5 linked regions of the Mus musculus genome follow. The protein of the gene in region 4 purifies or fractionates together with the protein of the main gene of each other region. This does not show direct contact. Links are inferred from orthologs where the notes say so. Each region holds a gene or a part of one and is shown on either strand. Other genes may lie near its edges. The genes, in order: Polr2f, Polr3gl, Polr3h, Polr3d and Polr3b.

Region 1 (4,439 bases), on a different chromosome or scaffold from region 4:
GAGGTCCTGAGTTCAATTCCCAACAACCACGTGGAAGCTCACAACCATCTGTAATGGGATCTGGTGCCCTCTTCTGGCCTGCAGGCATACATGCAGGCCGAACACTATCCATAATAAATAAACAAACAAATCTTAAAAAATAAAAGGTCGTGTGTGTGTGTGTGTGTGTGTGTGTGTGTGCGCGCGCGCGTGCGTGAGTGTGTAGCTATGCGTGTATGGCTGCCTGTGGAGGGCAGGGAAAGGCACTGACTCATAGGAAGCTAGAGTTACACATTGCTTTGACCCACCTGATATGGTTGTGGGGGATTGAACTTGGGTCCTTGAGAATAGCCAGTGCTCTTAATCTCTGAGCCATCTTTCCAGTCCTTATTTTATTTCAAGGATAGGTTCTTACTATATTATCTAGGCTAGCTTTTCTTGGGCTCAGGCAATCCTCCCATTACATATGCCTAAGACACACACACTTTTTTGGTGACTGGCTAACATGGGTGCTGGGGAATGAGCTTTCAAAGGGCAGTACATGTTCCTAACCACTGAGCCAGCTCTCCAACTGTAACACACACAGACTTTTTTGTGTATGGTGTGCTGGGGCTGAAACCCAGACTCCACATCTGCCTAGAATATACTCTGTCACTGAGCAACACCTTCAGCTCTATAATTTTCTCCTGTTCATTTTTCTTGTTACCCTCCTGTGTTATCAGTTTTCTGAGAGCAAGAGTTGTCCTTTGCAATCCTCTCAACACTCTATTCCTAGTACCTAGGACAATATCCAAATCACACATTAGGTTTTTGTCGTTGAATAATTAAGTGCATACATGCTCATTCATGTAGCAGAGGCTGGAGCTACAGTTGTGAGCAGAAACAGGCACGTTTCTTTGCCTGGTGGTGTTCACCATTTAGAAGGTGACACTAAACACCTCTAAGACTGTATAATGTCTAAGCCTGGTGAAGGGAATTGAATTTGGTACTGTGAAGGTCCCACTGCAGTGAGGAGATAGGCTTCATTGAAAGTGCATGTAAAAGATGAACTAACCATTCCAAAATTCTCCATCTCTGGTCTTTGATTCTTCCCCGAACCTTTCAGAATCCCAAGCTCTTAAGGAAAAACCGCACCGCTCGGGTCGTTGATCCCCTAATGCACTGACCTCTGAGCAGCTCACAAGTCCCCGGCGTGTAACCTGCTTGCTTACGGCAGCGGCGGAACCCGGTTCCTTTGGTCACCGAGTCCACCCTTTCCTGGGAAGCCATGGGAGGGCCCTAGGAGGGAGAGAAGCAATGACTCGCCCTAGTTACGCTTCGCAATCCGGACCTCTCATCACGAGCAACCTGGGAGTCTGAGAAGCTGGTGCCCGACCCCTCGGCTCCGGACAGCGCAGTGACCACAGTCCCTATCGTGACGGTCCGGGGAGGAGCGCTCACCTTAGGCGATGACCTGGGCGTGACAGAGCCCTCCGCACGGAGAAACTCCAAGGAGCTAGAGTGTCAGCGTCCTCACTAATCGCTCCTTGTTACCATGGTAACTAGCGACACGCCTCCACGCACGCGCATTAGCGTCTGGTCGGCCGCTGCTTCCCGGAAGTAACTGCGCCTGGGTCACGGCGCAAGCGCAAACTACGCGTGGTGCGGCGAGGGGCAAAGGCGCGCGTTCTCTGCTCTGCGCCCCGGGCGGAGAAGGCATCATGTCAGACAACGAGGACAAGTGAGCACGGGCCACGGAAGGAGGGAGGTCGTGGTGCGAGCAGGGCTCTTGGAGCACAGGCTAGCCCAGCTGCTGGGTTGGTGGGGCGAAGTCTTCAGAACTTCCTACCTCGCGGAGCAATGGGGACAGTGGTCAGAGAGTTCAGTCCGTGTGGCCCCTGTCCTCTGAGCGCTCTCTTTCTGGAAGGGAATGCCAGAGGTGTGTAGCTTGTGTAGTCGTGGAAGTAGGAAGGAAAAAGCAACCCAGAGAATGGCCTGGAAGGCTGGGAGCAGACGCGGGCTTGGGCTAGGTGTGATAGTAGCAGAGGTGGCAGAAGTGGGGATAGACTCTAGAGAGCATGAAGTTTAGTGTTGTTTGAGGCAAGGCCTCACTCTGAAACCCAGGCTGCCCGGGAATTCACTATATAGCTAAGGCTGGCTTTGAATTCGACACAGTCCTCTGCTTCAGCTTCCCAAGTGTTGATATATCTGGCATGAACCACCAGACCCAGCTGGATTATGGACATTTTTTTTTTTTTTTTCCGAGACAGGGTTTCTCTGTATAGCCCAGGCTGTCCTGGAACTCACTTTTGTAGATCAGGCTGAACTCAGGAATTCACCCACCTCTGCCTCCCCAAGTGCTGGGATTAAAGGCGTGCGCCACCACCACCCGGCTGGACATATTTTTATTTTATTTATTTGGAGACCAAATATAACCTTATATCAGGTGGTTCGAACATAGAGATTCATCTACCTCTGCTTTCCAGGTGATTTTTGTTCTTTTTTTTTTTTTTTTTTCCTGAGACAGAGTCTTTCAACATAGTCCTAGCTGTGTCTGGAAGTCACTGTGTAGATTTGGCTGTCCTCAAACTTACAGAGATCTGCCTGCTTTCACCTCCTGAGCACTGGATTACAGGCGTGCGCCACCATGCCTGGATCCTGATATATTTTAAAGATAGAACCTAAAGGATTTCTTGATACGCTGTATATGTTAATCAAGAGAGAAGATGAACTATGGTAGTCCTGATAGATCAGTCAGAATTCAGAGTCTGGGCGTGGTGGTTCACACCTGTAATCCTAGCACTTGGGAGGCTACTGCAGGGGAATTGTCCTGAACTAGATGTCAACATAGTGAGTCTCAGGCCAGCCTGAGTTACATACTGTGCAGTAAGATTGACTTCAAAACAAGCATACAAAATACAGTCAAAAATGCAATGAAAGCAGAGATGACGGCGTTGACCAGGGCAGTGATTGCCACCAGAGAAGAGATGGTGAGTGAGTGACTTGGGGGGAAGAGAACCCAGAAAAGCATCCCCTCCCCCAGAGTGGGAGGCAGGAGGGAGGAGCCAGGTATGCTGGCTGTCCAGGGGAAGGGTTCAGCATTGTAAAGATCCTTAGTGAAGCTGGGGGTGGTGCAAGCCTTTGATTCCAGCACTCAGGGCAGAGACTTGGGGGGGGGGGGGGGAATCTCTCAGTTCCAGGCCAGCCTTGTCTGCAGAGTGAGTTCCAGGCCAGCCTTGTCTGCAGAGTGAGTTCCAGGACAGCCAGGCAGCACAAAGAGACACTTTTCTTTTTTTTTTTTTTTTTTTTTTTAAAGATTTATTTATTTATTACATGTAAGTACACTGTAGCTGTCTTCAGACACACCAGAAGAGGGCGTCAGATTTCGTTACAGATGGTTGTGAGCCACCATGTGGTTGCTGGGATTTGAACTCTGGACCTTTGGAAGAACAGTCGGGTGCTCTTACCCACTGAGCCATCTCACCAGCCCCTTTTTTTTTTAAAGATTTATTTATTTACTATATGTAAGTACACTGTAGTTGTCTTCAGATACACCAGAAGAGGGCACCAGATCTCATTACGGGTGGTTGTGAGCCACCATGTGGTTGCTGGGATTTGAACTTCAGACCTTCGGAAGAGCAGTCGGGTGCCCTTACCCACTGAGCCATCTCACCAGCCCAAAGAGACACTTTTCAATGGGGAGGTTGTGGGGTGCGATGATCAGTGAGCACAGGAAGGATGGCTGTGGAGCTTGAGGGTGTGGCGAAAGCCTTACTGAGGTGAGGCTCTGACTCGGGAAGTGAAGAATTGGAGACAGCGAGTTTGGGCAGCTCCCTCAGACATTGTGCACCACGGGAGGCTGATGAGATGGAGGAGGGGCTAAAGGTGAAAGTTTTGCTGCCCGAGCCTAACAACCTAGGTTTGATCCCTAGAGCCCCTGGTAGAAGGAGAGAACAGAAAAGGGAGTCTTGGTGGTGTATGTGGGCCTGTACGCGAGCACGCATCATGTGCACGTTAGCAATAAATAAGCATGTTTTTAGAAGCCTGGTGACCTTAGGCTATGAAAATGGCAATGTCACCTTGGTCTTATGTAGTTTTGTTTGTTTGTTTGTTTGTTTGTTTTCTCCACCATAAGGGAATATGGAATTAAGCTGTAGCAGGAGGGGAAAGAATAATGGTGTGTTGTTTGTTTGTTTTTAAGAGGGGGAGGTGATGCTGGTAGTGTGCTGGTGCTGTGAGTGCCAGCGGCTTCATGCATGCTGTCTACACACCCTACTTTTGAGTTACAGCTCCAGCCCTGAAGTACACTTCACTTGTTTTTGTTCTTGAGACAAAATCTCACTATGTAGCCCAGGCTGGGCTCAAACTCCTAGTTCTCTCACTTCCCATTTCCAAATGCTAGGAGTACAGGAGTGTGCTACCACCCTGGCACGTTTATATTTCTCTCCTTATGTCCTTATGAGAGGCTGAAACTGTCTTCA
Region 2 (3,739 bases), on a different chromosome or scaffold from region 4:
GGAGGTCAGCACTTGGAAACTGAGACAGTAGAAATAAGTGTTCAAGGATAGCCTGGGCTCCATGAGACCTTGTCAAGGAAGGATGAAAGGAAGGGAGAAAGAGGGAAGGAGGCACATGCCTCTGCAGTCTCAGCACGTCCAGACCAGAGACGACAGATTAAAAGGTCACGCTCGTTGTCTGCTGCACAGTTAGTTTCAGGTCTACTGGGTTACTTGAGACCCCGAATCAACAAAACAAGAGCAGAAACAAATGTGTCAGTGCTCATTAAGAATACATATTGTCCAGAGTGAGTTCCAGGACAGCCAGGACTACAGAGAGAAAGCCTGTCTCAAAAACAAACAAACAAAGAAAACCCACTCCAATTGTCCTTGTGAGTCTCTGCTATTCATGCTGATGTTGGTCACTGGCTACACTGATGTCCCTTAGAAGGTACCCCTACACTCCAACTTGTCAAAAACACGAGGAACAAAATTCCCACTCTTATGAATCAGGAATTATGCTCCTTTGCTGTTACATGGACTGTCTACATGCTTTGTTTATGTTTTAGCTTCGGCTATCTACACGGTTTATTTAGAATTCTGCATGAGACATGTGTCTTTTCCTAGTCATTCATATTATGATGGACTCGTAGGCATTTACTTTGTACTTTGGGATTATAATCTAATATTAATTTATTTTATTTTGTTGGGAGCTGAAGTGATGGTTCTGTGACTGAGAGCACTGATTGCTCATCTAGGGGACCCAGGTTTGGTCCCAGCACCCACATACGGCTGCTAACAACCATCTGTAACTCCAGTCTCAGGAGAAACCGTGCCCTCTTCTGGTCTTCATGGGCACTGCATTCAAATGGTGTGTGTGTGTGTGTGTGTGTGTGTGTGTGTGTGTGTGTGTGTGTGTGCGCGCACTCTGCCTGCCTGTCTATCTTTTTGTCTGTCTGCCTGCAAAACACCCATACCCATAAAATAAAAATAAAGATCTCAAAAAATAAACAGATATGTCTGTTTTAATTATGGGTCTGTGTGTATCACTGTGTATACACATGAATTCAGGTGTCCATAAAGGCCAAAGGCACCGGACCCCCCTTCCTGGAGCTGGAGTTATAGTAAGCCCCCCATGTGAGTGATGGGAGTCAGAGTCGTGTCATCTGGAAGAGCAGTACCCCACCACTGAGACATCTCTCTAGCTGAATTGTTTTAGTACTTTAAAATATTATTTACTTTTACTTATTTGTATGTGTACCACTTATGTAAATGTGCATGGAGGCTGTGGCAGGCGTGGATTCTCCGGGAAGTAGAGTCACAGGCAGTGGGAACCACCTGATGTGAGCAGAGGAACCAGACCCAGGTCCTCTGCAAGAGCATGGGATACTTTTAACCACAGAGCCATCTCTCATGTTTTAAAACATATTTTAAAAGTGTGTGCATGTGAGTGCAGATGTCCATGGAGGCGAAATAAGGGTGTTAGATTCCCTGGAGCTGGGTTTACAGACGGTGTGAGACACCAGACACAAGTACTGGAACAAAACTCCATTCCTCTTCGAAAGCAATGCACATCTTAACCACTGAACAGTCTCTCCAGCTTTGTTTATCTTGAGACATGATCTTGCTATTTATCCCTCAGTGGCCTGGAACTCTATGTAGACCAGGCTAGCCTCAAACTGATAATCCTCTCGTCAAGTACAGGGCTCGGATTACAGGTTTGTGGTATCACTCCTAACTTAATGTTTTATTTATTTTTTAATTAATTAAGTAGTTATATTTTGTATTTATTTTGCTTGGTTTTTTTTTTTTTTTTTTTTTTTTTTTGAGACAGGTTTCTCTGCATAACCTTGGCTGTCCCAAAACTCATTCTGTAGACCAGGCTGGCCTCAAACTCAAAGTAATGCCTTCCTTTGCCTCTCAAGTGCTGAAACTAAAGGTGTGTCCCTCCACTGCCTGGCACATCAAATTTCTAACTGTCACAGAAAAAGGGATTGGAATGTAGCCCAAAGTAGAGTACTTGCCTAGCATGAGAAAAGCCCTGGGTTTGAACCGGGGCACAGAGGAAAACGTCACCTCCCATAGAACATCACATGATGTGCTGTGCGGCTTCTTGGCGTCATATCTCTTCTAGTACACTTCTTTATCTCTCTGTTTTTGTCTTTATTAGGTTTTTCTCACTGGATCTCTGCATATCCAGGCCCCCTCCACCATGGCCAGCCGGGGTGGGGGCCGGGGTCGTGGCCGGGGCCAGTTGACCTTCAACATGGAGGCTGTGGGCATTGGGAAGGGTGATGCTTTGCCCCCACCCACTCTCCAGCCCTCTCCACTCTTTCCTGTGAGTGTCTCCCTTCCCTTCCCAAGCCTCCCATGTGAGCCCCCACTGAGCCATATGAGCACAGAATCCTCCTGGCCCATCTCGAGCCATCTGCACCTTGATTCCGTCTATAGTCGCACCTGCCCCACGGGCGGTGTTTTCCCGGCAAGGAAGTGTTTATCTTCACTCTTCATACCGTCCACTCTCCAGCTCTCAGAATGCCCTCCTCCATCTTCTGGCCTTCCCAATCTTACTGAGAACACTGGATTTTACTTGGGGGAAAGGCCTTTTAAGGTTTTATTGCAGCGCTCCAGACTAACCACTGTACCCCTCAGCCCTTGGAGTTCCACCCAGTGCCTCTGCCGGCAGGAGAGGAGGGGGAGTATGTCCTGGCACTGAAGCAAGAGCTGCGCGGGGCCATGAGGCAGCTCCCCTACTTCATCCGGCCAGCCGTCCCCAAGAGAGGTCAGTAGAAAGCTAGCATAAGGATTCGGGCCTCCTTCTGTGGGCAGTGCCCATGCTAGCACGCTCAGGGCCAGAGAGGCTTAGAAGTTTCCTGTCTAATGGAAAGAGCATTAAATGTCCCTCTGTGTCTGAAATGTATCACCTTACTCGAGATTTTAATTGAACCTCAATCTTGGGGCTGGTGGGACATTAAAGCATCAGCATCTTAGTTCAAATAGGGGGGGTACAAATGAATTTCCAATTCATTAACTGGAGAGACCTTGATGCTGGGCCTCTGAGCACCCCACCTGTGCAAAGCTTTCACCTAGCGAGAGCAGGAGACTGGAGACGGCGGGCGGGGCTGCTGGCAGGCTTGGGAGAATGGTTACTTGCCCTCGGTGAGAAGTATTGACAGTTGATGCTTTTCTACTGAGCCCCTGGGAGCTGAGGGCTCAACACTGGAAGAAGACTTACCAAGCTAACCAGTTAGTGAGAGGGAGACAGAAGACTGAACCCTGGTTTTTATCCCAGGGTGTCCTGTCCAGTGAAGCTCACTGCTTCTCAGAAGAGGATTCTGGGCAAAGATAAGAATAGCAACAAGGCAGGCTGAAGGAGAGGCAAGGCTGACCCCAACTGACAGCTCTGGGCTCTGGGCTTAGAGTAAGGAGATTGATAGATAAGAGGGGCAGACCCTTAGGACAGATGTTCTAAGGTTAAAACTCTAACTCACGGGCTCTACCCCCCCCCCACCCGCCCCCCAGATGTGGAACGTTACTCAGACAAGTATCAGATGTCTGGGCCTATTGACAACGCCATCGATTGGAACCCTGGTAAGTGACTGGCCCCTCCTCTCCGAATGCCCTCCTTTCAGATTCTTTAGGTACCTCAAACTGTCACCTTCCTTTCCTGTACATCTAAATCTAGAGTCTTAGATGTGCTCTGCAACACTCTCGCGTTCTACGTGGAAACCCTATTTGTAACAACAGTGCCCACCTCTCC
Region 3 (4,405 bases), on a different chromosome or scaffold from region 4:
GTCCCAAAGTCTGATGACAGCTACAGTGTACTTACATATAATAAATAAATAAATAAATAAATCTTTCTTTAAAAAAAGTTACACATCCCAGTGTCCCAAAGTCTGTGCCCCAGATCACAGCCAGGAAGTGTTGAGAACTCCATCACTCTCACACCGCCTCAGACACACAGACAGGGATATGTGGCCAAAGCACTTCCGCAGACCAGAAGCCCACACAGCTTGGTGTTAACACACCCTGGTGTTCTAAATGACTTGGCTCAGTGTCTACATGTCTACCACCAATATTACCCCTAGCCACAGCCCTCACAAGAGCTGCTCAGGGACTAGAGCACTTCAGAGCTGGGGCAGAGCTCCCAGCAGTCGTCATCTGTGGAGGTTTCTCTCTCAGGATCCAGTGAACTGACCTCACCCGGGCATGGTGATCTCTGCCTGTAATCCCTGCAGCTGAGAGGGGGAGGCAGGGGTATCCGAAGTCCAAAGCCATCTTTGGTTACACAGTGGATGTAAAGTGAATTCAAGTCCCATGAGATGTGGGGAGATGGTATTGGCAAAATGGTTCAGCAGTCAAGGTAGATCCCAGGACCCCTTTCTCCTTATGAGCTGTGCCGTGGCCTATTCATGTGTGCTGTGGTATATACACCCACATTCAAAATAAATCCATGTAATGAAAGAAAGAAAAAAAGAAAGACAAGACAGACAGACAGACACAGACAGACAGACCTGGATGTCATGGCTGACTAAGTGTGACCTCCACAGGCCCATAAATGTGAATGCTTAAGTCATCGGAGAGGGACACAACTTGAGAAAGATTAGAAAGAAGGTATGGCCTTCTTGTGTCAGTGGGAGTGGGCTTTAAGGTTTCACAGACCCACAGCAGGCGAGCGTTACTCCCTTGGCAGTGGAGGACATAGCTCTCAGATCCTACTCCAACACCACGTGTGCCAGCACGCTTCCACCACAATGCTGAAGGACAACCTCCGCAACAGTAAGCCCCCAGTAAAATGCTTTCTCTTGTCACCTTGCTCATGGTATTTCCTCACAGCACTAGTGCAGCAACTAAGACTGGGTGTGACACGCACCTTCAATCCTAGCACCTGGGTGGCAGAGGCAGATGGTTCTCTGGGATTGGAAGGGCAACGTAGACTATAGCAAGTTCCAGGCCAGCCAAGGCTACATAGTGAGATTGTCTCAAAAAAAATTAAAGGATTGTCAGTGAGCTCTCTCCTCCTCCATGTGACAAGCCTCAGATCTGTGTGTGTACCTTCTCCTAGGGCCTCAGTCTCCTATAAGGGACTACCTGTCTCCTGTAAAAGCCAAACTCGCTCTTTCTTTCTGGCTCTCTGAAGATCACATCCTACCGACCCGTAAAGAACAGCTTGGACTATAAGGCCCTCCAGGGCTCTGTGGTCTGGCTTCCGTCTACATTTCCGTTCCAGCTACACCAGCATTCTGTGCCTCTCCTGCCTCAGGACCTTTGCACATGCTAAATGCACTGCCTCCACAGCTCTACACCCAACCTACTCCAACCATCGAAACAGAGTCTCTCTACTTTGCTACATCCATTCCAGTAGTGACCCGCTTGACAGGCCCAAAAGCCTGGACACAGTCCCAAAGTGAAAAGTTCACAGAAAGGCCTGTCCGAGGCATTACTTGGTGTCTTCCCACCATCAGCTCTCAGAGCAATGGCTGTTTCCTCAGAAGTCACCCATCTCTTTCATCCCGGGTGACACTCCCCTGTTCCCCACTCTGTGAATGCCTGTCCTTCATGGCATTTACCCCAGCTCATTACAACAAGACATTCTCAAGCCAACTTCTTCTCACTAGGCTACAAGGGCAGAGCCTGTGTCTCCCATTGGAGAGAGTGAAAGTCCGAGAAGGCCCCTGTAGTCATAGAAAGGGAAACACAGTAACCAAATGAATACAAGAAAGGGGCTACTGAGCTGGCTCAGCCGGTACAGCTGCCTCCCTCTAAAGCTGAAAGCTGAGTTCAATTCTAGAGACCCGCACGCTTATCCTCTCACCTCTACTCTCACACTGTGGGCAACACAGATAACACAAACCGAGGCCCAGAGAGGGTGACTTGGCCAAGACAACACAGTAATTGAACGAGGAAACAGGCATATTCCAGTTTCTGTTTTACAAACCCATTTTGTACACACGCTCTCTCCGTTTTGTTTTCTGGCAATCCTGAGAACCGAACCAGTGACTCCGCGAATGTCAAGCAAATTCAAGCACTGTTCAGCATCCTGATGCTTTTTGTTTCTTTTGAGGCAGGGTTTCTCCGTTGTAGCCTTGGCTGTTCTAGCACTCCCTCTGTAGACCAGGCTGGCCTCGAATTCACAGAAATCCGCCTGCTTCTGCCTCCTGAGTTATGGGATTAAAGGCATGCGCTACCGCCAGCAGCTTCGGTGCTTTTAATTTGTCTGAGTCAAGGGCTAACTATATTGCCCACGCTGGCCTCGAACACAGGATCGTCAAAAAGCCTCAATAGCCAAGAAGCTCGGATTACGGGTGTGCACTACCTCGCCCGGCCCATTTACTCCCTTGTGTACACGTTGTCACCCAAGTCTGGTTTATAAGGATGCGAAGGAAAAAAACCCCGACATGAAGTTAAGTGTGCAAGGCCAAGGGTGAACCAGGCGATAGCCAGACTAGCAGTGGGACCGGTAGGGACACTGCCGGGCAGCCCGAGGGCCCAGTACCTTGTTGGCCAATTTCTTGTTCAGCTCCTCAGCAATGGAATCGTTGAGTTTCCGCTCAAACTGCCACGGGGGTATGCGCACGGTGTCCACCATCTCCACCAGCACGAACATCCTGCGCTAGGGCTCTGGAGACCGGAGAGGCTGCCAAGCACGGGGGCCTGCGAGCTGTGATGGGGTGGGGGGGACCCGAGCCTCCTCCGTCCCTTCTCAGCCTCTGACAAGCCAAACCTGCAGCCGAGCTGCGCGGGAGGGCCTGGGCTCCAATTCTGGAAGCTACGCTCGTCTCCCGGAGGAAACTGAGGCCCGCTCCCGCCAGCCTTGGAGGAGCGCCGGCTCCCCGTCCCCGGATGCCACCCTGGCCTCGTTCCGTCCGCACCACGCGCGGGAGCCACGCGCGTCCAGCAACGCTGCGCTTGCCAAACCAAATCAACTCAGCTTCCGGAAAACTGACCAATAAGAAGCATCTGCCCGCCCCTGCGGGTCGCAGAGCTTCGCGAGGCTCCCGTGAGGGGCGGGGCCGGAAGGTGGGCGGGGCCGCCAGCACTCTCCCGCAAGTGAGAGAAGAGGGGCGGGGTAGAGTGCCGAAAGGGCGGGGCCCCATCCTGAAGCAAGCCAACCCCGGGCCCCTGAGAGAGTCTGGTTGCTAGGCGACAAGTCTGCACTTCAAGCCTGATTGTCTTTCTTTTGCACAACAGCCAGATAGACCCTTTGAAAATACAAATTTAACACGTTCAAAATAGTCTTTACTCCAGACAAAGTACCCAAGAGAGTGGGCAGAAAAGGGTCGCCGGGCCTTCCTGGATGATGTCATTTTAAGTGGTGCATTTGATGGATATGCTCACCAAAGCTCAGCACACAAAGCTTAAACAGCTGAAACAGACTCACGCTTGTAATACCAGCGCAAGAGAGGGTGAGGCTGGACAATCACTGCAAGTTCAAGACCAGCCTGAGTTACCAAATGAGATCCTGTGGCCGGGCAGTGCTGGCGCACGCCTTTAATCCCAGCATTTGGGAGGCAGAGGCAGGCGAATTTCTGAATTCGAGGCCAGCTTGGTCTACAGAGTGAGTTCCAGGACAGCCAGGGCTACACAGAAAAACTCTGTCTCGAAAAACCAAAAAGAAACAAAAAACAAAAAACACAGATCAGCTACATAGTGAATTCAAGTCTAGCCTGAGGTACAAAAGACTTTTTGTTTGTTTGAGACTCTTTCTAAAAAGAAAAAGGGGGGTGCCTAACAATGATGGTGACACACGTCTTTAATCCTAGCACTTGGGAGGCAGAGGCAAACGGATCTCAGAGTTTGAGGCCAGCCCAGTCTACAGAGCAAGTTTCTGGACAACCAGGACTGAACAGAATAATCCTGTCTCAAAAAAACAAAATAGAAAAATTTTCTTGCTGCACACTTTTAATCCCAGCAGTTGGGAGGGGCAGAGACTGTCAAATTTCTGAGAGTTAAGACAAACCTGGTCTACCAAGAGAGTACAAGATAGTCAAGGCTATACAGAACACACTCCCTCCCCCACCCAAAAAAAAAATGAGGAGAAAAAAAATAAGGCATTTTGGGCTGGGCGTTGATGGCACACACCTTTCATCCAAACAATTAGAATGCAGAGGCAGGAGGATCTCTCTGAATTCGAATTTGAGGCCAGCCTGGTCTACAAAGCAAGCTGCAGGACAGACAGGGCTACACAGAGAAACCCAG
Region 4 (4,395 bases):
CTTAGCCTCTGGCTCTTCACTCTCCTCCTTAAAAAGCCACCCTGAATGAGCCAGAGGCAGCTGCACTGGCATGTTCCGTGTGTCATTCTTTAGCCCCGGGTCATCGATGAACTGCCAAAGAGTTGGAGGGGGGGGGGGGTCACATGAAATGTCAGCACGTGTGCTTACATCACAGCCCGTTTCGGGACTTGTGTCTCTCTCTTTTCTTTGCATATGTGTACGTCTCACACAGAGGCAAGCTCGCTCTCCACTGAGCTGCACCCCCAGCCCCTCTTTAGTGCTCCTGTAACCAAAAGCTTGAACATGTCCCTGGCCTGGCTCCCTCAAAACCCTCTTTAGCAGCTACAAAAGAACCTGTCCCCCAGGCTCCTGGCACCTACGTCATCCTTCTCCAGCATGCGCAGGATCTGCTTGGTCTCTTCGTCTGTTTCTCTCTTCTCTTTTTTGATGTTGATGATATGAGAAGGTCCCATGTCGGACATGTCCACGGTCTTATCCCAGTTCCCTGCGGGAAATCATGCTGTCCACTAGGGTTCAATAAGGAAGACTGCCCACAGCGAGGAGAGCCCAACTTGGAATGGAGACTCCCACGCTCTGCCTTCTCAGGCAGTCTGAACTGCAACCCAGACCAGGTCCCTTCCTGGTACCTTTTTTTTTCATCATTTCTGCCGGACCCTGCTCGAAGATAGAATGGGACTGGATCACTTCCGGGCGGCCACGTCCCCGTCCGTGACCCTCACGCTGGCGGTCCCTGTCCCGTTCACGCTTTTCCTTCTTCATAGTCACTTCTTCTTTTGGCCTGGGAATGAGGACAGACAAAAGGGTCTGCCTCAGGAAATGGAGCCTCCTCGCTTGCCCCTTTCAGCCCGCTGAGCAGAGCTTGTGAGCCAGTAAGTACACTACGAGAATCGGCACCCAACCCTTCGCTATACCTTTGACATCTCCCATAAAGCACGGCCTTTAATTTCCTTCTACTTTACCGTCTTGTCAAAATGTGGGCCTTTTGTTTTGTTTGTTGGTTTTTTAACCCTCTAAAAGTAGAAAGGCTGGAGAGCAGAGGACCTTAAGGCAAAGTTGGAGAGTTCAGCCCCACCTCGGCAGAAACAGAAGGTAGCTGAAACTATAAGAGATGGAGCCTACTGGGTGGTTACCCAGCTCCTAAAGGAGAATAGAAACTCAGCCCTTTCCTCTCCTTAATTTCTTTCTTCCCTTGGGTATTCCGACTGCATTCATTGCCATACCATGAACCCAAAAGCAAGAACCACCTGATTGATCGTGGACTAAAATCTCCAAAACAAAATGTCCCTCTCTGTAAGCCAATTATCTCAGCTATTTATTACAGAAAAAAAACAAAACAAAACAAAAACCAAAAAGACCCTCTAATGCAAAGTGCCCTGGAGCTAAGCGTGGAGGTGTACATCTTAATCCCAGCACTCAGGACACAGGTCTGAGAGGCAAGCACATCTCTGGGAGTTCTAGGCCAGCAACCTACATAAGTGAGTTCCAGGACATGCAAGGCCATGTAGCGAGGCACTGTCTCAAAAAGAAACATGCCCCTATATAACCCAGGATTGAAGGATGAGAACCACTGGTGAATAAGCTAATAGCGTAAGTTAAAATCTCTAGGCCACACAACCTAATTACGTCCCCAAATTCAGAGCTAACCGGGGTGAGTACTGTTCATTCATTACTTACTCTTCTTTGATCTTCCGACTGATGATATTTGGGGTGAAGGTTTTCTGAAAAGTAAAACACAGTACTGTATTTTCGATGTGCTCAACTGACCAACAGTCCTGGGATGGCTTAGAGAGACAGGTAGACTATCACCAGTAGCCCCCAAGGCAAAGCTAAAATGCTTTATCCTGTGTTTGCTATTCCTTTTCAGAGCTACTCGGTACAGTTACATCTACTGTTACACACATAACAGGAGGGGACAAAGAGCAGTTACCGGCATGCCTAAGATTCATCACTTACTAGATTATTAGTTTTCAATACTGACATCCACAGAGTTATGAACACTCGAAATTGCAAGTAAAGCAATTTTGTCTGGCTTTCAAGGGATTTTGTAAGGAGCCCAGAACATAATAAGCACTTCCGGATGTCTTGAATCAACTAGATTCACTGTCTTTTAATTGCCTAGGAGACCCTGTCAGTGTCCTGTACCAGCACCTAGGTTTGCAGGTCTCTCTAAAGGCTGACATCCCACCAGGGGCCCAAGGCAGCACATGAATGAACATCACGAGTCGCCTCCCTACGGCCTGGGTGGGTTTCTATACAAACGCGCTCGCAGGTACCTTCTTGACTCCGCCAAGGGTGAGGTCCCGGGAGCGGATGGAGGGAAGGCGACCGGGCGTAAGCGGGGGTGCGGGCCGCCGGCCGATCAGCCCCCGGCCCCCAGAGAGAAGGGGTCGCGGCCCTCCAGGATTGCTGGGCTCGCCCGCCGCGTTTCCTTCCGACATGGTTCCTAGAAGAAAGTAGGCAACAAAGTGACTCCAAGGGCTGGACGCGAGGACCCTGGGCGGAACCGCACCCACGTGGCCTCCCGCCCCCCGCCCGTGCGTCGCTCTCGCTGCAGCTCAGCTCCTCCCCGTCCCACGTGGCGAGGCTTCCCGGAGCGCCCCACCCCTAGCTTTGGACTCCGTCACCTGCCCTTTCCCTGGGGACTTCGTGACGCACCTGCGTGGAGGCTCTGCGCCGAGTATCACAACCTCACCTCCGACTAGAGCAACCACGGGCCGCGGGTCTCCGGGCAAGGCGGAAGTCTGCGTGGCAAGGACCGGGCGCTGCCATCTTACCCTGGGGCGGAAGTGACATCAAGGGGGCGTGACCTGACCATAGTATTTATCCGACGGTGCCTCGCCGCCCTCCGCCTTCTCTTCCCGGTTCTTCCCGGAGTCGGGAAAAGCTGGGTTGAGAGGGCGAAAAAGGATGTGGGAGGTGGACTGTAAGCTGTGCCGGGGTGTGACTCGTGGGGGCGTGTCTCGGCCCCTGGCAGGGAGTAGAGGTGCGGTCCTCGGGGTCGGAGGTGGAGGGGCTCCAAGGTCGCCTACCTGCTGTATGTGGAGTCCACACTGCGCAGCCTCTGGGAGCAGTGGGGTCGCCGCTCGGGATGGGGCTCCGGACATAGGGAGCTTAGAGCCCTCAGGCCGTGGCTGGCTGCAGCCTCCCTGCGTTGACCTTGGCGTGGTCATTGCACCTTCGGGCTCGACCCTTTGCTCGCGTGCGCCTTCCCTTGCCGGTCCCTGGGGTCTTGGGGTGTCACCCTTAACGCAGTTTGGACAGAGCAGCCAATAGCTCTTCTCATCTACCTGGGCCCATGACTGCTTAGTCAAATCTGGGAAGCCTTTGGAACTGAAGTTTGCTCTTCAACTGGAAGGGTTTTTGTTTTTTGATTTTTGGTTGGGAGGTGTGGGTATTTTTAAGACAACCCTGCTCTGTAACCCTATCTAGTCTGGAACTTAAGTAGACCAGGCTGGCCTCGAATTTGCAGCAGTCCAGTCTCTTCACTCATCCCTCAGTTGTAGGGATTACAGATGTACACCACCAATCCCAGCTGAAAAATTTTTTTATTGTAATGTGTGGTTGCAATCTAATCTGGGGGGGGGGGAGTCATTTAATGTTACACTACAGCGACCCCAATACAAATAAAAAGGTTATGTAATTCTAGGGAAGGAACCTATTTCTGCTGGAATTCCATAGGCTGCTAGCATTAAAATATTTTTGATGTACTGTAATATTGTGCCACACAATAGTGTATTCTTTGTCGGAGACAAATGACCAATGGGAGGATATATATGTGCATATTTATATGTATATATCGTAACTTGTTTCCTTAATGGGGCACTTACTTTAAATAGGTATGTTGTTAGAAATAGCTAGTGTACATTTGATACATCCAACTTTTTTGCTTTCTTGTAGATTATATCCCTAGGAAAGAGTTTCAGAAAATGTACATATTAAAAGTATACTTTGCTGGGCAGTGGTGGCACACGCCTTTAATCCCAGCACTTGGGAGGCAGAGGCAGGTGGATTTCTGAGTTTGAGGCCAGCCTGGTCTACAGAATGAGTTCCAGGACAGCCAGGGCTACACAGAGAAACCCTGTCTCGAAAAACCAAAATAAATAAATAAAATGAAAATAGTAAATAAGTAAACTTCATTTTGATGTCATACATATGCAGTTATTTAAAAAAAAAAAAGGGGGGGGGGGAAATTATGTGACAAGCCAGGCATGTTGGTGCATGCCTGTAAACCCAGTACTTGGGAGGAAAAAGCAGGCAGGTCTCTGAGTTTACACCAGCTTGGACTACAAAGTGAGACACTGATGGTGATGATGATGATAATGATTCAGCAGAGCCCAAATTCTGTTTACTTTGTTTTCCACAATAGTAAGATCT
Region 5 (3,834 bases), on a different chromosome or scaffold from region 4:
TATATATAAAACTCATCAAAAGAAAGCCTTACTTAAAAGAATTTTTTAAAAAACCAGTTTTAGTAACTTCTCAATTAAAACTCTTACAAATGATTTACAAGTAAAAGTTAAATATAAGCACTTTACAATTAGTTTACTAGACAGATACAGTAGTGGTATTACAAGAGATTTGACAGCAAGTACATTTACTTCGGTATTTAAAAACAATGGGAATATTATTTAAGAGCAGTTGGTTTCTTACTTTAAGTACCACATGGGGTCAGCATCACTTGTAACCTTTTCATTGGCTTTCATTATCTTCTTTATCTGCAGTAGAAAGTGCAGAATTAGGAACAGAGCTCTTGCTTCCACTTGGCCCTCAATTTACATCTGGCCTTAATCCTGGATGCTTACCTCTACATTAATGAAATAGTTAAAGGAGTCTATGTGCTGTTTCACCAGGCCTTTAACCTAAGCAGAGAAAAAACAAAAGATGGTAACAAAGAAACAGGGTGCATGAGTCACTCTGGGGCAGGTAACCATTAGTGTTTCTCAAATACAAGCAAGGGCAAGATTAATAGATGTACTTAGTTAAGAAAAAAATTTAAAGGATAATCTAGTGACTTATCTCATGAAAAATAACCAATTATTATTAAATAGCATACAATTACCTTTAAAAATGCTGGAAGCAGCCTCCATTTTTCCTGTGAAGATAAGGAAACAATAAGACCATGAGAACCTCTGTCAGTAACCACAAAACACAATTGCTGTGGGGTACCACGTTTATCACAGTGTGCAGAAAACAAACAGGGAAAATGTTATAATTGCTACTGCAAACACCATGTTTATATGGTGCACATGCACAGACACACATATATCACAGGTTTCCCTAAATATAATAAAACCTCTTCTGGATGACAAGATTTCAAACCAGTTTCAAATTTATTCTTATGGCACATCCTAAGTGAGGCTCAAAATTTGAAAAGAGAAGTTAGTCTTGAGTCTGGTGGGAACAATCAGAGCTCTTTCTAAACCAGAGCCTCAAACTACCTCAAGGCTTCTGGGGGTCAGCACACATGGGTGTTTGCTCCTCCACTAATAGACTGCTAACTCCCATGCCTCTTGAGTTTTGGGTGTCTTGTAGACTACTACATACAGAGACAGCCTCTTTTCACTTACCCCATCTGCTAAGGGAGTCCTGACAGCTGGGTACAGCGGAGTGTAAAGTCAGAATACTCAGTTCCTAAGGAAAGATCTATGGACAACTCACGGCTTTGTGGCAAACATTTAAAAAATGGCTTTAGGGACTAGAAAGATGGCACAGTGGCTAGGAGGGGTTAAGATGTTCTTCCAGAGGACCTGAGTTCAATTCCCAACGATCACATGGTGGCTCACAACCAACTTCTGATGTCTTCTTCTGGCATGCAGGTGTATATGCAGACAGAGTACTCATACATAAAATAAATAAGCTAAACAAAACAAAACAAAACAAAAACTGGCTTTAACTTAAGAGACCTGAGTGGCACTGGGAAGCTCTGAGTGGAGGATGGCATAATAGCTCCATGCCTATTAACTGGATCGCTCTGGATGCTGGGTGGAAATGGGCAAGGCTGGAAACAGGACAATCACTTAGTCAATCGAAGTAGCCCACACTAGTAACAGTACAGGTAGGAAGTGAGAAGTTGTGTAGCTAGCAGACACAAGCTGGAGCAAAGCTTGTAAAATGACAACAGACTGGATGGTTCCCTAGAGAAAAGTGAAGTTAAAATTGACATCAGAGTGTCTGGTCTAAGACGGCAGAGGCACAGAGCCAACACTGACAGAAATGAGAGGATGGGGCCATGTAGGAGCAGCAGGCTTTCAGGGGTTGAGGTGTTAGGAATTTGGTTGGTGCATGTTTAGTCTGAGATACTAATTAGACATTCAGGTAGAAATGTCTGATGGGCAGTAGATGTCTAGAACTTAGAAACACAGTGGCCTGGGGTATAAATTATGGAGAAGTTATGAAAGCTAAGGGACAGGGAGATGGCCCAGGAGCAAGGGAAAATGAGTTGCACAAAATGAGAAAAGCTGAACGTAATGGCACACACCTTTAATCCCCAGCACTTGGGAGTTCAAGGCCAGCCTGGTCTACAGGGTGAGTTCCATGACACCCATTGTTACATAGTGAAATCTGAGAGAGAGAGAGAGAGAGAGAGAGAGAGAGAGAGAGAGAGAGAGAGAGAGAGAGAATATTTCTAACATCTAGAAATGAGGATGTGGGGAGGCCTAGAAAACAGGCAAGCCAGTCTCTGATAATAGAAAACAAGAGTGTTTTGGGGGGGGGGGCGGATAGGAAGAAGCTGGAAAGGCTATAAGAGAACTTTTTGGGGTGGTGGAAGTGTTCTAGAGCATATATTGGGTAATAGTTGTTTGGTTATCTGCAACTATCAAAGCCAAGGCAAGCAATACTCAGTATCTGTGCAATACTATGTTCATGTTAAGCAGAAAAAGAGGAGGAAGACCAAAATTAAAAGCTGAATTAAATTCCTACACTGGCTTCCAGGTGGCCTGGCCTAAAGGACTGTAGAAGATTTCAGTAGGTAAGCTCTAACTCAATATGGCTGGTGCCCATATAACAAAAGGGGATCTGGACAGATACATTCAGGGACACTGTCAGGTGAAGATGAAGACAAATGTCAGTGTGATGTTTCTGTAAGCCAATGATACATCAGAGACTGTCAAAAGCCAGCAGACTCTAGGGAGGAGGCACGCACTGGAATCTTTCTCAGGCTCTTCTGTAAGCTTTGTCTTGGATTTCCAGTCTTCAGAAATGTGGGGAATGAAACATCTGGTTTTCTTACACTATCAAGCTGTAGTACTTTGTTACAGCCATCTGACATACTAATCTAGCTTTTCAATTTCTTGCTCCCATATTTCAAAATTTCCCCTCCGTGCACAGTGAAATTCCTCTTATCTCACAGACAAGAGGGGTGAGTATACAGTCTTTGTGGAGAACTCACTGCCGGCCACAGACACAGACTTTTTATTCTCCTGTAGAAAGTCAGACCTTCCCTTGCTTAATCCCCCCAACTCTTGGCTGTGTACTCAGAAACCTTCTCTATTGGTTTGTTCTCACAACTGTTCAACGTTTTAGCCAGCTGTGGTGGCCCAGGCCTATAACCCTAGCAATTAAGAGGCAGAAGCACAATCACTTCAGAATCAGCCTCAGCTATAGCAATTCCAATCTAGCCTGGGCTACATAAAGCACTGTCTCCGTGAGGTGAGAAAATGCACAAATGACACAAGGTTGGTGAAGGACTGCAAGGATGGCAATAGAGAAAAAGCCTAAGAGTTGGTAGTGGAATTCTAAACATTATCACCATTCCAGGAAATAGCTTAAGTTTAGGAATATATTGCCCATTGCACTTAGGGTGTGCTGGTTTGAGTAAGAGTGGACCCAGAAGCTCATGAATTTGAATGCTTAGTTACCGGGGAGTAGAACTCTCTGAAAGGATTGGAAGGGTTTGGAAGTGTGGCCTTGTTGGAGGAAATGTGTCACTGTGGATGGGTTTTGACGTTGCAAAAGCCCATGCCAGGCCCAGTCTGTCTCTGTCTCTCCCTCCCTCTGCCTGCATACAGATCAGGATACAAAGCTTTCAACTACTTTTTCAGCCCCATGCATACCATTCCTGATACAAAGACAATGGACTAACCTCTGAAATTGTAAGCCAGCCCTAATTAAAAGCTTTCTATTTTAAGAGTTGCCTTGATCAGGGTGTCTCAGACAGAACACTGACTGAGACATAGGAGAAAATCTAAAGTCATCAACATGGTTTTTGTTGTTGTTGTTGTTGTTTTTACCAAGTCTGGCCA

The links.
Region 1: the proteins of Polr3d (region 4) and Polr2f purify together in Homo sapiens (affinity purification with mass spectrometry; 5 studies listed by BioGRID and IntAct, with this or other methods). This does not show direct contact. The link is inferred for Mus musculus from reciprocal best matches to the Homo sapiens genes POLR3D and POLR2F.
Region 2: the proteins of Polr3d (region 4) and Polr3gl purify together in Homo sapiens (co-immunoprecipitation; 4 studies listed by BioGRID and IntAct, counting the BioPlex papers as one, with this or other methods). This does not show direct contact. The link is inferred for Mus musculus from reciprocal best matches to the Homo sapiens genes POLR3D and POLR3GL.
Region 3: the proteins of Polr3d (region 4) and Polr3h purify together in Homo sapiens (affinity purification with mass spectrometry; 6 studies listed by BioGRID and IntAct, counting the BioPlex papers as one, with this or other methods). This does not show direct contact. The link is inferred for Mus musculus from reciprocal best matches to the Homo sapiens genes POLR3D and POLR3H.
Region 5: the proteins of Polr3d (region 4) and Polr3b purify together in Homo sapiens (affinity purification with mass spectrometry; 8 studies listed by BioGRID and IntAct, counting the BioPlex papers as one, with this or other methods). This does not show direct contact. The link is inferred for Mus musculus from reciprocal best matches to the Homo sapiens genes POLR3D and POLR3B.

What each region holds. Positions count from the first base shown.
Region 1 is NC_000081.6:79,139,736-79,144,174, forward strand, and holds the start of Polr2f (DNA-directed RNA polymerases I, II, and III subunit RPABC2), read left to right. Parts: upstream 1-1,589; 5' UTR 1,590-1,679; coding exon 1,680-1,699; intron 1,700-4,439. Other genes in the region: 1700088E04Rik (UPF0193 protein EVG1 homolog), read right to left, coding at 1,146-1,248. UniProt on the Homo sapiens protein: DNA-dependent RNA polymerase catalyzes the transcription of DNA into RNA using the four ribonucleoside triphosphates as substrates.
Region 2 is NC_000069.6:96,580,666-96,584,404, reverse strand, and holds part of Polr3gl (DNA-directed RNA polymerase III subunit RPC7-like), read left to right. Parts: intron 1-1,834; exon of another isoform or gene 1,835-2,149; 5' UTR 2,150-2,191; coding exon 2,192-2,317; intron 2,318-2,631; coding exon 2,632-2,761; intron 2,762-3,501; coding exon 3,502-3,570; intron 3,571-3,739. UniProt on the Homo sapiens protein: DNA-dependent RNA polymerase catalyzes the transcription of DNA into RNA using the four ribonucleoside triphosphates as substrates. Specific peripheric component of RNA polymerase III which synthesizes small RNAs, such as 5S rRNA and tRNAs.
Region 3 is NC_000081.6:81,923,084-81,927,488, forward strand, and holds the start of Polr3h (DNA-directed RNA polymerase III subunit RPC8), read right to left. Parts: upstream 3,131-4,405; 5' UTR 2,814-3,130; coding exon 2,703-2,813; intron 1-2,702.
Region 4 is NC_000080.6:70,440,657-70,445,051, forward strand, and holds the start of Polr3d (DNA-directed RNA polymerase III subunit RPC4), read right to left. Parts: upstream 2,816-4,395; 5' UTR 2,677-2,815; intron 2,572-2,676; exon of another isoform or gene 2,465-2,571; 5' UTR 2,460-2,464; coding exon 2,295-2,459; intron 1,740-2,294; coding exon 1,696-1,739; intron 800-1,695; coding exon 648-799; intron 508-647; exon of another isoform or gene 506-507; coding exon 381-505; intron 112-380; coding exon 1-111. UniProt on the Homo sapiens protein: DNA-dependent RNA polymerase catalyzes the transcription of DNA into RNA using the four ribonucleoside triphosphates as substrates.
Region 5 is NC_000076.6:84,625,099-84,628,932, reverse strand, and holds part of Polr3b (DNA-directed RNA polymerase III subunit RPC2), read right to left. Parts: intron 684-3,834; coding exon 651-683; intron 451-650; coding exon 394-450; intron 307-393; coding exon 242-306; intron 1-241. UniProt on the Homo sapiens protein: Catalytic core component of RNA polymerase III (Pol III), a DNA-dependent RNA polymerase which synthesizes small non-coding RNAs using the four ribonucleoside triphosphates as substrates.